Arabidopsis thaliana: one gene and its partner. The protein of the gene in region 2 purifies or fractionates together with the protein of the main gene of each other region. This does not show direct contact. Each region holds a gene or a part of one and is shown on either strand. Other genes may lie near its edges.

Evidence for each region.
Region 1: the proteins of AT1G51980 (region 2) and AT3G27240 fractionate together in Arabidopsis thaliana (co-fractionation; one large-scale study listed by BioGRID). This does not show direct contact.

Annotation. Positions count from the first base shown.
Region 1 is NC_003074.8:10,055,225-10,060,741, forward strand, and holds AT3G27240 (Cytochrome C1 family), read right to left. Parts: upstream 3,550-5,517; 5' UTR 3,387-3,549; intron 3,176-3,386; 5' UTR 3,147-3,175; coding exon 3,087-3,146; intron 2,746-3,086; coding exon 2,534-2,745; intron 2,137-2,533; coding exon 1,857-2,136; intron 1,770-1,856; coding exon 1,698-1,769; intron 1,618-1,697; coding exon 1,501-1,617; intron 1,401-1,500; coding exon 1,335-1,400; intron 1,037-1,334; coding exon 920-1,036; 3' UTR 506-919; downstream 1-505. Other genes in the region: AT3G27230 (S-adenosyl-L-methionine-dependent methyltransferases superfamily protein), read left to right, coding at 1-232. UniProt on the Arabidopsis thaliana protein: Component of the ubiquinol-cytochrome c oxidoreductase, a multisubunit transmembrane complex that is part of the mitochondrial electron transport chain which drives oxidative phosphorylation.
Region 2 is NC_003070.9:19,322,519-19,328,859, reverse strand, and holds AT1G51980 (Insulinase (Peptidase family M16) protein), read left to right. Parts: upstream 1-1,941; 5' UTR 1,942-2,088; coding exon 2,089-2,127; intron 2,128-2,437; coding exon 2,438-2,683; intron 2,684-2,760; coding exon 2,761-3,057; intron 3,058-3,151; coding exon 3,152-3,319; intron 3,320-3,421; coding exon 3,422-3,589; intron 3,590-3,691; coding exon 3,692-3,769; intron 3,770-3,874; coding exon 3,875-3,941; intron 3,942-4,067; coding exon 4,068-4,165; intron 4,166-4,399; coding exon 4,400-4,469; intron 4,470-4,568; coding exon 4,569-4,639; intron 4,640-4,759; coding exon 4,760-4,809; intron 4,810-4,919; coding exon 4,920-5,032; intron 5,033-5,121; coding exon 5,122-5,168; 3' UTR 5,169-5,805; downstream 5,806-6,341. UniProt on the Arabidopsis thaliana protein: Substrate recognition and binding subunit of the essential mitochondrial processing protease (MPP), which cleaves the mitochondrial sequence off newly imported precursors proteins.

The DNA.
Region 1 (5,517 bases), on a different chromosome or scaffold from region 2:
TGAGGGTAAAGCGGAGAAGCTAGAGTTCTTGATGTTCGATCTTGATCGGGTTTTGAAACCCCGTGGATTGTTCTGGTTGGATAACTTCTATTGTGCTAATGATGAGAAGAAGAAAGAACTTACACGTATGATTGAGAGGTTTGGGTATAAGAAGCTTAAATGGGTTATTGGAGAGAAGGCTGATGCACAAGTTTATCTCTCAGCTGTTCTGCAAAAGCCAGTGAGAGCTTGATCGGGAATGCAAAAGGAAGTTCGTAATGGTAAGACCGACCATAAGAGTAAAACTCTCTATTTATAGTTACATTTGATCATAGGTTATAAATTTGGAGGTCATTAGGTGATATTTATTCCAGAGAAGAAGAATAAGCAATTATATATTTACCAGGGCAATTGGAGAAAATCATTTGTAAAAGTTTTTCAGTATAATGTGTTGAAATTTTGTCGATTATTATTACTACTTTTCTGTTATAATATCCATATATACCATACAAATAAAAATGAGTACCATTAATTGTGTTTTTGTTATACCTGAAATAAATTCTCCTCATGCAACCAAAGCCAGATGCAAGAAATGCCGAAAATAGACAACAAAATCAGAGTACAAAGTTATTTTTTATTGAGACAAGAGGAAAAACATAACAAATGATATAATCTCAAAATCATGTGTGATTATTATGAGGCGAAAAAAACAAGTTTTCGTGATTATCCTCATAAAACTCTCTAGTAATAATCGAAGGAAAAAGAAGAACGATGAGGTCTTTTCACCTTCAGGTGAGAACTGGTCTCATCAAAGATTTTTATGACACATAAAAATGATGATACGTTATTACCCAGAGAAAGGCTCTTCTCTATTTAACATCCTTTGTTGAAAATACGACTGTGTGTGGCCAGGCCAATGCAAAAGCTTTTCAGCGGCGCTTTAGTTAACCACGTCAAGAACCAGCTTGCGGGACTTGAGAACCGACCATTTTAGTCGCCTGTAGTAAGCAGCTTGGAGAAGAGCGAGAGAGAGTAGGAATATCCATTTGAAACCCATCTGCAAATAGTGAAACCAACATTAACCGCCATGTAAAATGTAACCTCAAAAAAAAGTCAATTCTTTGTATCGGTCTGGAAGCTGAGGTTTGTGTCTGCAAAACGAGTCAAACTGTGTTCACAGCATATCTAAATGTTATTATCTTAGTAGCAGACCAAGAACTAGTAGCACTTCACACTTGGTACAACAATTGGTTCTCTAAGTCAACTTGATCGATCATAAACTAAATCTAGTATTAATTGCATAGTCTAGGGAGAAAATACAATGTTCACCAGCGAACAGAGAAAGATAAACCTACCAGTTTCCTCTCTTCCATTTCTGGTTCAGCTGCCCAGGCCAAGAATGATACAATATCTTTACCCATCTGCACCGTAAAGTAAAGTTTATATCATGACACTGAGAAAGGACAGTACCATAAGGCATAAAGATTTATGTTCTTATATTTTAAGTGGAGGAAAAATAACCTGTGCCTCTGTGGCGGGGACACCATCTTCATACTCAACAGCTTCATCATTGAGCATTTTCGGCATAGCAATTGCTCCCCCAGGGAAATAAGGATTGTAGTGTAACCCCTCTCTAATCTGTACAGTTATCATCGGATTTTTCATAACCAGCACTTTGAATTCGAAGAAGTTCAATGTGGAAAATGAGAGAAACTTACCGATATGCCAGCAGGGGGATCACGGTAACCAGTCAGAAGCGCAAAGACATAGTTTGGACCATTGTGACGTGCCTGGAAGGCAGAACATTAAAACTATTTAAAACACAAAACACAAGTTTGCTACAGATGTTCAGTTAAAGTAAAGTAGCAGCAGCAGACCTTAGTTATAAGACTTAGATCAGGAGGATACGCTCCACCATTAGCAAACCTTGCAGCTGATTCATTTGCATATGGCTGAGGAAACCGGTCACTGAGTTTACCAGGGCGGGTGAACATCTCACCCTCATCATTAGGTCCATCTACTACCTCGATTTCAGCTGCCATTGCCTTTGCCTCTTCCTCTGTGTAGGCGACACCCACCAAGTCTCGGTATGAGATCAGAGACATTGAATGGCATGATGCACAGACTTGCTGATAAACTTGATGCCCACGACGGATCCTGCTCATACAACATCAACCTTTCAATAATTCATACAGTACAAAAATTTCACTGAAGTTTCACAGTCTAATATTAGGGTAGCAGGATAGTCACTTTCTTTAGGTTTAGACATGACTTCGGTGATCTTGAATCGTTTTATTAAAAAAAGGCAGCAACAAGCCCCTTATTTTATGTATGATTTCTTTTCCTTCTATACAAAGACTCATACAAACGCTTGATTCACGCATGATAGACTTTTTGATTCAAAGAAATTTACAATTCTAAGAAAATTTCCTTTTTCATTGAAAAATTGCTTGAAAGGACGTTAACTTATAAAAGCAAAAAAAAATCTATAAGAAAATGATAAAATGATGCTATTAACCAGACAAGAAGATGAGAGAGTGGTGACAATACTCACGAAGCATGGTCATATGAGCTAAGAATGCCATCATGAGGCCAAGGGTACTCTGGACTCTCCAATCCATGTTCAGCCTCATCAGCAGATGCTACTGTAGAAAAACTCAACAGTCCTGTAACACCAGCACCCAACAAGGCAAGTGCTCTTACACCAGAAGAACCAGCATCCTCATGAGCTTTCTTCGAAGAAAACCAAGACAAAACCGGAGTTGCCTGCAGGATAACACAAAACCAATGCTCAGTCAAAACTTCGCCGCAAACCAACTCAGTTATATGCTAACCAAATGGACTTTCAAAAGATTGCTGCATTCTACTATTCTACTAGGATTTGACATTGAAGCAGAAGCTATACATAAATCATTGTCTCCTGTCTTATGTTCCAAAAAATGAAAAATTTCACAAAGAAATCATTAGCTAATGAGCATCAGTGTCACAAAACACAAATCTTTAACCACAGAACCGAAAAAAATGTCTTAAAAACAGATCCCAAGCTGAAATCGTAAATCAAAATAGAAATGAAGAGAATGTAAAATTAAGACTGGAAAAAATCTCACAAGTGATTGGGAGTGAAGCTTCCTCCTAAGAATTTGCTGGATAACTCCTCCTCCAACCATTTGATTAAACCTTTGTACCAATCAACACGCTGAAGAAACAAAGAAATTGAATCAGAATACTGATTCAGTGAAAATGCGATTTCACAACACGTATACGAATAAACAAAAGCGAACAAGCCCTAGAAAATTTGAGTCTACACAGATCCGACGAATATAGATAACTCTGATCAATCAAATGTCAAAGAAGAAAACGAAGGTTTCGAATACGAGATATACAGAGAAATAGAGAGAGAATCTCACCGGAAAATGAAGAAACGAGATCGGCGACGGAGACGATCGAGGGAGAAGAGTTTGGGAACGAACAAGTAAAAGAGAGAAAATGGGAGTTCCACGATGACACAGCGGCTGCTAGACACACGACCACAGTTTTACTTATTTGGGCCTTAATGGGCCAACAACGTACTGCTTGAGCCCAGAAAATGTCGAAGTAGATAACACTTGAAAAGTTTAAAAGCTTGGTGGATCTTTATTATCTTTGAGAAGAAAAATCTTCCGAATGCAACGTAAAACATATGACTTTAGGATCATACATCACCAGAAGTAGACTTGGTTGGATTTTAAAAAATCAATATGGAGATAATTAAAAAAATGTTTGAATTATCATACTAGTGACAATGTTTGTACTTCAAACTGGCTTAATGGTCTAATCATTTCATATTATATATATAAACAAACAGTGAAAATTTGAAAACACGATTTTGCTTTAAAAAAAGTTTTGGCAATCACAACTTTTGAAACTTCTTAGGAGGAAGCTTCACTTCTAATCACTTGTGCTATTAATATATGATCTTGATAATGAGATGTTAATTACAACTGTGGATAATTTTTGATCTAAGGACCATTAATCATTCTGATGTGATATGCGTGATTAGCTGGAATAATCACATTTTACTATCAAGTGGAATCATACTTAAGTTAAGTAACTTAACCATCGACCGAGTCAGAAACTATGCTTCATCTACTAAACATATGTCTCGCATATCCGACAAAAAGTCAGAGAGAAATTTTAAAAAGAACAAACAAGCAATCTACCACAATCACAAAGGAAAATAATACTAAGACTCACGGTCAAATGGCCCTTAACTGCGGGAACCAAGCTTTGTACTCTCTTTTTCCCAAAACATCGAACTTCAGCGAGAAAAAATCCCTGGAACACTTTATGTACCACAAGACCTAGAAATACTTGTTTTAAACTATGTTTTCAACAATATTTCAACAATTTGGAATAAATTAAAGCATCACCAGCAGCCTCCAAAGGTTTGGATATTTTTACGGTTTATATATTTTTACTTGAAGTACCCAAAAAGAAACCAAAATACTCAAAGAACCGAACCTTACCTTCATCCTTGGTCCCCCATTCTTCTCTTCATATGACAACAACACAAGTTAGTAAGTTACATACCAAAAAGTGACAACAAAGAGAGATTATAAACTGGAGAGCTAACTTGCTCGCTTAATTTGTAACACAAAACAAAGAAAGAAGACTAACTGAACTGAAAAACATTCGGTTTCCTTATGGATGCTAAAAAGCTAAAAACGAATAACCCAAAACCCGAAGAATTGAACCGAACCGAATGTGTATCAGTGTATGCCTAGTTACTAATCCTGTTTTGTTACTAGAAAAAAACCTTTTGTTATGTGGCATCCATCTGGACTATATTAACAAAAGTTGTTGTGAAAATATAGATTAAAAAAAACTATTCAAAACACCTAAACAAAATTATAATTCAACGCAGTATTAATTACTCCATGCAGACGCAGTCTTTTTTTTTTGATAAAATCTATTAAAAAATAAAAACTCTACTCGTTTCAGTTTTTGCTTGTTTTATTTAACAATTAATTAATACATTAGTCTTTTTCTTTTTTTTAACAACTATATTATGTCTGCAAATATCATTAGATCGCTAACATTTCTTATTCGTTTACTCACATATATCGGCATGCTAATGATGCGCATAATTCCTTCTTCTTTTTTCGTGCTCAACGTAGACATGCATATGTAAGTATGAATGTTTGATGAGTCATGACATAACAGCTTTTCAAGTGAGAAATGGAGGACACATAGTGCAATTTGATTGGTCGGAGATTACGAGGACCAATAAGAGCCTTCGAATAAGGTGAAACAGCATATTGTGTGTTTACGTAGGACCCATGCGTTCATATAATATAAAAATCTCAACTAAAAATAAAAGAAAATTGGGGAAATAAACATACCATTTAACTTATCATATGGACCTATGTGTATGCATCTATGTGGGTAAAGATATATTCACATTGCTTCTATTCAACAACGTGTGTGTTTCTTCGCCTATAGTTGCCGGCCGTCAAAATTTAATACTGTATATTATGTGTTGGACCATACATTTTGCTA
Region 2 (6,341 bases):
TCATCATTATAAAAAATAATTAGAGTTTTTTCGCATATGCCATAATTTGATTTTTTAAAAACGAATATAAACTGTTCAATACATGAAAAAATATTATAACGGGTGAAAATAGATTTAAGAAAACTTTCTACTGAGTAACGGGTCATAATTTGAAATATTTATATTCAATTTCATACATATTATATTGAAAATTTATAATCTTATATACTACAATAATTAAAAACATATTAGATTTTCTTATATGTATGATGTGATTCAATTTTTAATACAAGCTGGAAAATCTTAGAATTGACGGGTTTAGATCGATATTAATACAAGATGGTATACTACAGGTGAAACTCTTAAATTAGCAATCAAACTACAAGTGTATAATCTTAAACACTAAACAATATACATAATATTAACAAAACATATACAACTCACAGTTTAATATACATTTAAAATCAAATAAAATAATATCATATATTTTTAAATCATCTTTACAATAAAAGTTTTTAGTTTAACTAAAATATAAGTCTACCTGCGGTATACAGCAGGTTAATATCTAGATTATAGGGCTTATTGGATCTAAAGATGGGTCATCAAATATTTCCTAAACTGAAGCAAAATATATTGAATATTCAAATATCTATCTGTTACCAAATTATAAACAAATAAGTTCGTAAAATAATTTAATATTTTATATACGAAATTAATTAAATCTTAATCACATAAAAATTAGCAAAACAAAAAGTATTCAACAATTAAAAAATTATCAAATCTCTGTGTTATATAAGTTTTGATACTATATTCGAATAAAATGTAATATACTTTTTCAATTTGTATTCTTTAACAAATTTAAGCTAACTAATATATTTGCTTTTTTGGTGGATTTGGGTAAAAGTGCATTCAGGTCATATGATACATTTTCCTATTGAATAAATATGGTGCACTCCTATGTTATTAGTTAAAATGTTTAGATTATAATTCAGAGTCATATCATTAATAAAATTAATATTAATAAAATAAATTGCTTTTTGGAAGACGGATTTGAAGGGACGGGTTTTTGAATCAACATTAATAAAAAAGTAAAATATAACTAATCCACCGTTTCAATACGGGTTAAATCTTTAATTTATTATTTTTTAAAACTACTAATATTAAACATATCAAATCATCCTAATTTAGAAAAGATTATATAAAACCAAAAATGTTATGTGGTATGTATAATATTACTATATATAAAATTAAACTATAAAATATAAATGTATTAGAGAATGATACAATTTGCAAAGCTTTTATATATAAAAAATAATTCTTAAATTTTAAAAATTACTACTTTAAAAAAAAAATCATGGGACGGGTAAGAAATTACATAACGGATTTTATTTTAGAATTGGGTTATATGGTGGATGTATTTGAATCAATATTTATAAAATATTAAAATATTATTAATATGATGTTTTAATAGGGGTTAAAACTTCAGTTTTTTAACAATTGTCTCATGGATTCGTGGTATAACGTTACCTAATAACAATTTTAAACTGTAAAATATTAATATTTTATAAAATTAAAATTTGCAAGTTTTAATATATTACTTTAAAAAAAAATCGTCTCGCGGTATACCGCGGTTTAAAATCTAGTAACAAAATATTTGAAGTACACACTAAACCAACTCAGTAATCTAATTAAGTAAATACAGAATGGACATATTTTTTGATAATTTTCAATTATTATTAAAATTCTTCAGTAAACAGATTTTTAATGAAAAAGATGATTAGATGATGTTTTGACGGTTGAAATTGGCTATAGGTTATATAGTTTAGATTTGTTCAGATTGATAAATAGTCTAAAAACCACTTTGAATAAATATTAGGATTGGGCCAAGCCCATAACACAATATTGGGTCAGATTTTAGTACATATTATGGGCCTATGTTAGCAAGATATCACCGAGTACGTAGCAACTTAGATTCTAAAGTCTAAACTAAACAAAATCGTAAATAAACTGAGAAAAAGCCTCCGTCTCCTCCTCTCTCTCTATTCATCAGCCTCAACCTCTCTTTCGTCGTCGACTCAGTTTCCGATTTAGGGTTACCCAATCTTCGCCATGTATCGCACGGCAGCTTCACGAGCCAGGGCTCTTAAGGTACATCCTTATTCCTTTTTACAATTTTACCCTTTTATCCTGTTCCTGGAAGATTCTGGAACGATTTGGTCCGATTCAGTGAATTAACAGATCTGGATTCAAATTCTTTCGTTTGTAGTTACTTCTATAGGTTACAATGATCTCTTCTCTGATTGGTTAAAGTCAATCCATTGGTTTAGATTATAACTCATCTGATTTTCGATTTAAGAGAAATGATTTCGATTATGATTCTTCTTATTGTCCTTTGATTGATACCATAGAAAAGATTGGTTTCTTATTATGTGATGTATTGTGATTGTGTGTTATATAGGGAGTTCTTACTCGTAGTTTGAGACCAGCGCGTTATGCTAGTTCTAGTGCTGTTGCGGAGACGAGTTCGTCAACGCCGGCTTACTTGAGCTGGTTGAGTGGTGGGTCTCGTGCTGCGCTTACTTCATTGGATATGCCTCTACAAGGTGTTTCTCTTCCTCCGCCGCTTGCTGATAAAGTCGAGCCGAGCAAACTTCAGATCACTACTCTTCCAAATGGTCTTAAGATAGCCTCAGAGACGACTCCGGTAAATAAAAGAACGAATTTTAATGTCTGATTTCACTCCTGAAAATGTGAACTGAAGAAAGTTAATGTTGTGTGCAGAATCCGGCAGCTTCGATTGGTTTATATGTTGATTGCGGTTCTATTTATGAGGCGCCTTATTTCCATGGAGCTACACATTTGCTTGAAAGAATGGCTTTCAAGAGCACGTTGAACAGAACTCATTTTCGTCTTGTGAGGGAAATTGAGGCTATTGGAGGCAACACATCCGCTTCTGCGTCTCGAGAGCAAATGAGTTACACTATTGATGCTCTTAAGACCTATGTCCCTGAAATGGTTGAAGTTCTTATTGACAGTGTTAGAAACCCTGCTTTCTTGGACTGGGAAGTGAATGAAGAGGTAGATCATTTTTTTTTTCCTTTTGTATTATTCTGATAACTGTGTTGAAACTTTTATGTGACTTTTAGCCATGTGTCGATGATCTTTTCCGCAGCTACGGAAGATGAAGGTAGAGATAGCGGAACTTGCAAAGAACCCTATGGGTTTCCTCTTGGAGGCCATTCATTCTGCTGGTTACTCTGGTCCATTGGCAAGTCCTCTGTACGCACCGGAGTCTGCTTTAGATAGATTGAATGGGGAGCTCTTGGAAGAGTTTATGACTGTAAGAATGCATGAGCTTTTGTGAACCATCTACGTCTCAGCGATTTCAAAATTACAATCCTATTTATTTGTCTTTTTGACTCAATTTATCTGGGAATTTCAGGAGAATTTCACTGCTGCACGGATGGTATTGGCGGCAAGTGGAGTAGAACATGAGGAACTTTTAAAAGTTGCTGAGCCATTAACTTCTGACCTTCCTAATGTACCACCCCAATTGGCTCCAAAATCTCAGTATGTCGGTGGAGATTTTCGCCAACATACTGGTGGAGAGGTAGGTATTCATGACAGATTTCCCATCACTGGACAAGTGTGTCTGAGATGAAGGTGTTTCTATGTCACATTTCTTATTGAGCTTTTGTTGTTCCATTTTCAGGCTACACACTTTGCGGTTGCTTTCGAGGTGCCTGGCTGGAATAACGAGAAAGAAGCAGTCACCGCCACTGTTCTCCAGGTGTCTAATTGAATTTTACTTTTTGGTTGCTTTAACTTTCACTTGTTTCGATCAAATTTTTTTTACTGGCGAAAAAGTAATAAAATGTAATCTAATTGCTATTAGATGCTTATGGGAGGAGGTGGCTCATTCTCTGCGGGAGGTCCTGGAAAAGGAATGCACTCGTGGCTTTGTAAGTCAAATCTTGTATTTCTTTTTGGCCTATTCTAGTTTTGTTTATTGAACTAGTTCACGGACCATACTCTCGCACTGCTAAGCTATCAGTAATAGTGATACAAGTTCTTATGTCTGGTTACAGATCGCCGTGTTCTAAACGAATATCAGGAGGTTCAGTCATGCACTGCATTCACTAGCATCTTTAACGACACCGGGTTGTTTGGAATCTATGGTTGCTCGGTAAGTTCAACAATCCTGATGTCGCTTTCTATGTTTTTCCTTTCATTACTTATCCACATTTTTCTATTGATGAGATGTGTAACAACGGAATACCAATTTTTGTGGTTAAGCTTAAGAAATATTGACTTTGAGGTTAAAGTGATGTCCAAGTTTTTTTAGCTGAAAAATTCATTGCCGGATATGTGTTTCGGTAATATGTGTTAGCTGATAGGGGATTTGTGTCTTTGAGTGCAGAGTCCTCAATTCGCTGCAAAAGCAATTGAATTAGCAGCTAAAGAACTCAAAGATGTTGCAGGAGGAAAAGGTTTGCAGTTTTGTTTCTTCCATTATCACTTAATCTAACAAGTTGAAACCATTCTCATACATCTATGAAACATTTTCCTTGTGTTCTTATGTTGGACAGTTAACCAGGCACATCTTGATCGTGCCAAGGCAGCCACAAAATCTGCAGTTCTGATGAATTTGGAATCTCGGGTATATTTTTAACTCTCGCACCCTCTACTTACATAAAAATACTTAAATGTTGCCAATTTGTTTAACTTGATCCAAACCATTATATGTTATGAATGTGTTCAAACGGTTTTCCTGTGCCAGATGATTGCAGCAGAAGACATTGGTAGACAGATACTTACATACGGAGAGAGGTATGTATACGCAGAACTTCATTTGAAAACCCGAAGAAGTTCACTAGATCTCCATAGTTTTCTTCAATTCCAGACACATCATAATTTGTGGTTTTTACAAAATCTTGCAGGAAACCAGTTGATCAATTCTTGAAGTCAGTAGACCAACTAACCTTGAAAGACATTGCAGACTTCACCAGCAAGGTTATTTCAAAGCCTTTGACAATGGGTTCCTTTGGAGATGGTAAACAACTTTCACTTTTTTCTTATCAATCTTTTACAAACCAAGATCTAGTGTCTTAATATTGTTTATCGTGTTTTTGTTTTTGGCAGTGTTGGCTGTTCCGAGCTATGACACAATAAGCAGCAAATTTCGTTGAAGCAAAACAAACAATTTGCCAAATCAACAATATTTTGGGACTTGTAAAATAAAGAAGATCTTGGGGAGAAGAAGACCCAACCAATTTTAATTTTAATTTTTTTTTTTACAATTACAGTTTCGTATTTTTATGAAATGGATTTTGTTTCCATCGACAGATATAAATGACTGGATTTTGTCCGGTTTGTCTCTCCAATTTTCAGGAGTATTTGTATTCCAATAAATAATCTTTTACTACGTGTAATGCAAACAACTTCAGTGGTACAATTAGAACTGTGTCAGTTTTTATGCAAGTGTTCTCAATTTTGCATATATGTTACCGGAGAATGTTGAGTAGACGTAAGGAACGGGGTTACTTTGCGGAGATAGTGAAATCAGATAGCTGCTTGGAGAAAGTGAAGTCTCGGCTTCTTAATGCAGTGCGGTTTTAGCGATAAAGCAGAATGAATTAAACTTGGATTTGGAGAATGGAAAGAGTTTCCAGGGAGGAGAAGGTAAGAAAAGACTAAGCGTGTCTTGCGGGGATTGATCAGGAGGAGGCAAAGGAAGGCAAAATGGGACGAGGAGGAACAGTAAGAAGCGAGAGTTCCGGGATTCCAAGTTTGTTCATGGTGGTAGGAGAGGGATGAGCAAGCATAGCACTGTAAAGAGTTCGATCATCTACAACTTCAACACTTTACAGTTATAAACTTTCGTTTATGTTTTTAGAAAGTGTTATTTTTTTGGGATAATTGTAAACTTCGAACGATGGATAATTTAAAAATGAATAGAAATTGTAATGTAAAAAAACACACGAAATCAGTGCTTTTTGTCTTAATTAAAAAGACCAGCTTGCAAAGTCACGCAACGTCGAAGCTCTAACTTTCTCTTCTAAAAGTGGCTTACTTTGGTCGCAAAGACACAAATTTTAAGGAAGAAAAAAAAACAAAACAAAAGCCAGATAATTTACTTGGGAGAAATAGGTTCGATAATTCGATTTTTTCGATGAATTAGAGTAACCTTGGGAGCAAAATGCGACCACGCTTCGTCATCTTCTACACAATTCCAAGAGAAACGAGTAGAAATCGTCAGTTTGGGATATTTTGTGGTTTTATGATTTATAGGAACGGGTTGAATCCTTAAACTGTTGAATCCTTGATATTTGTTTGAAGTACTCTTCATCTACTTTCCTCAC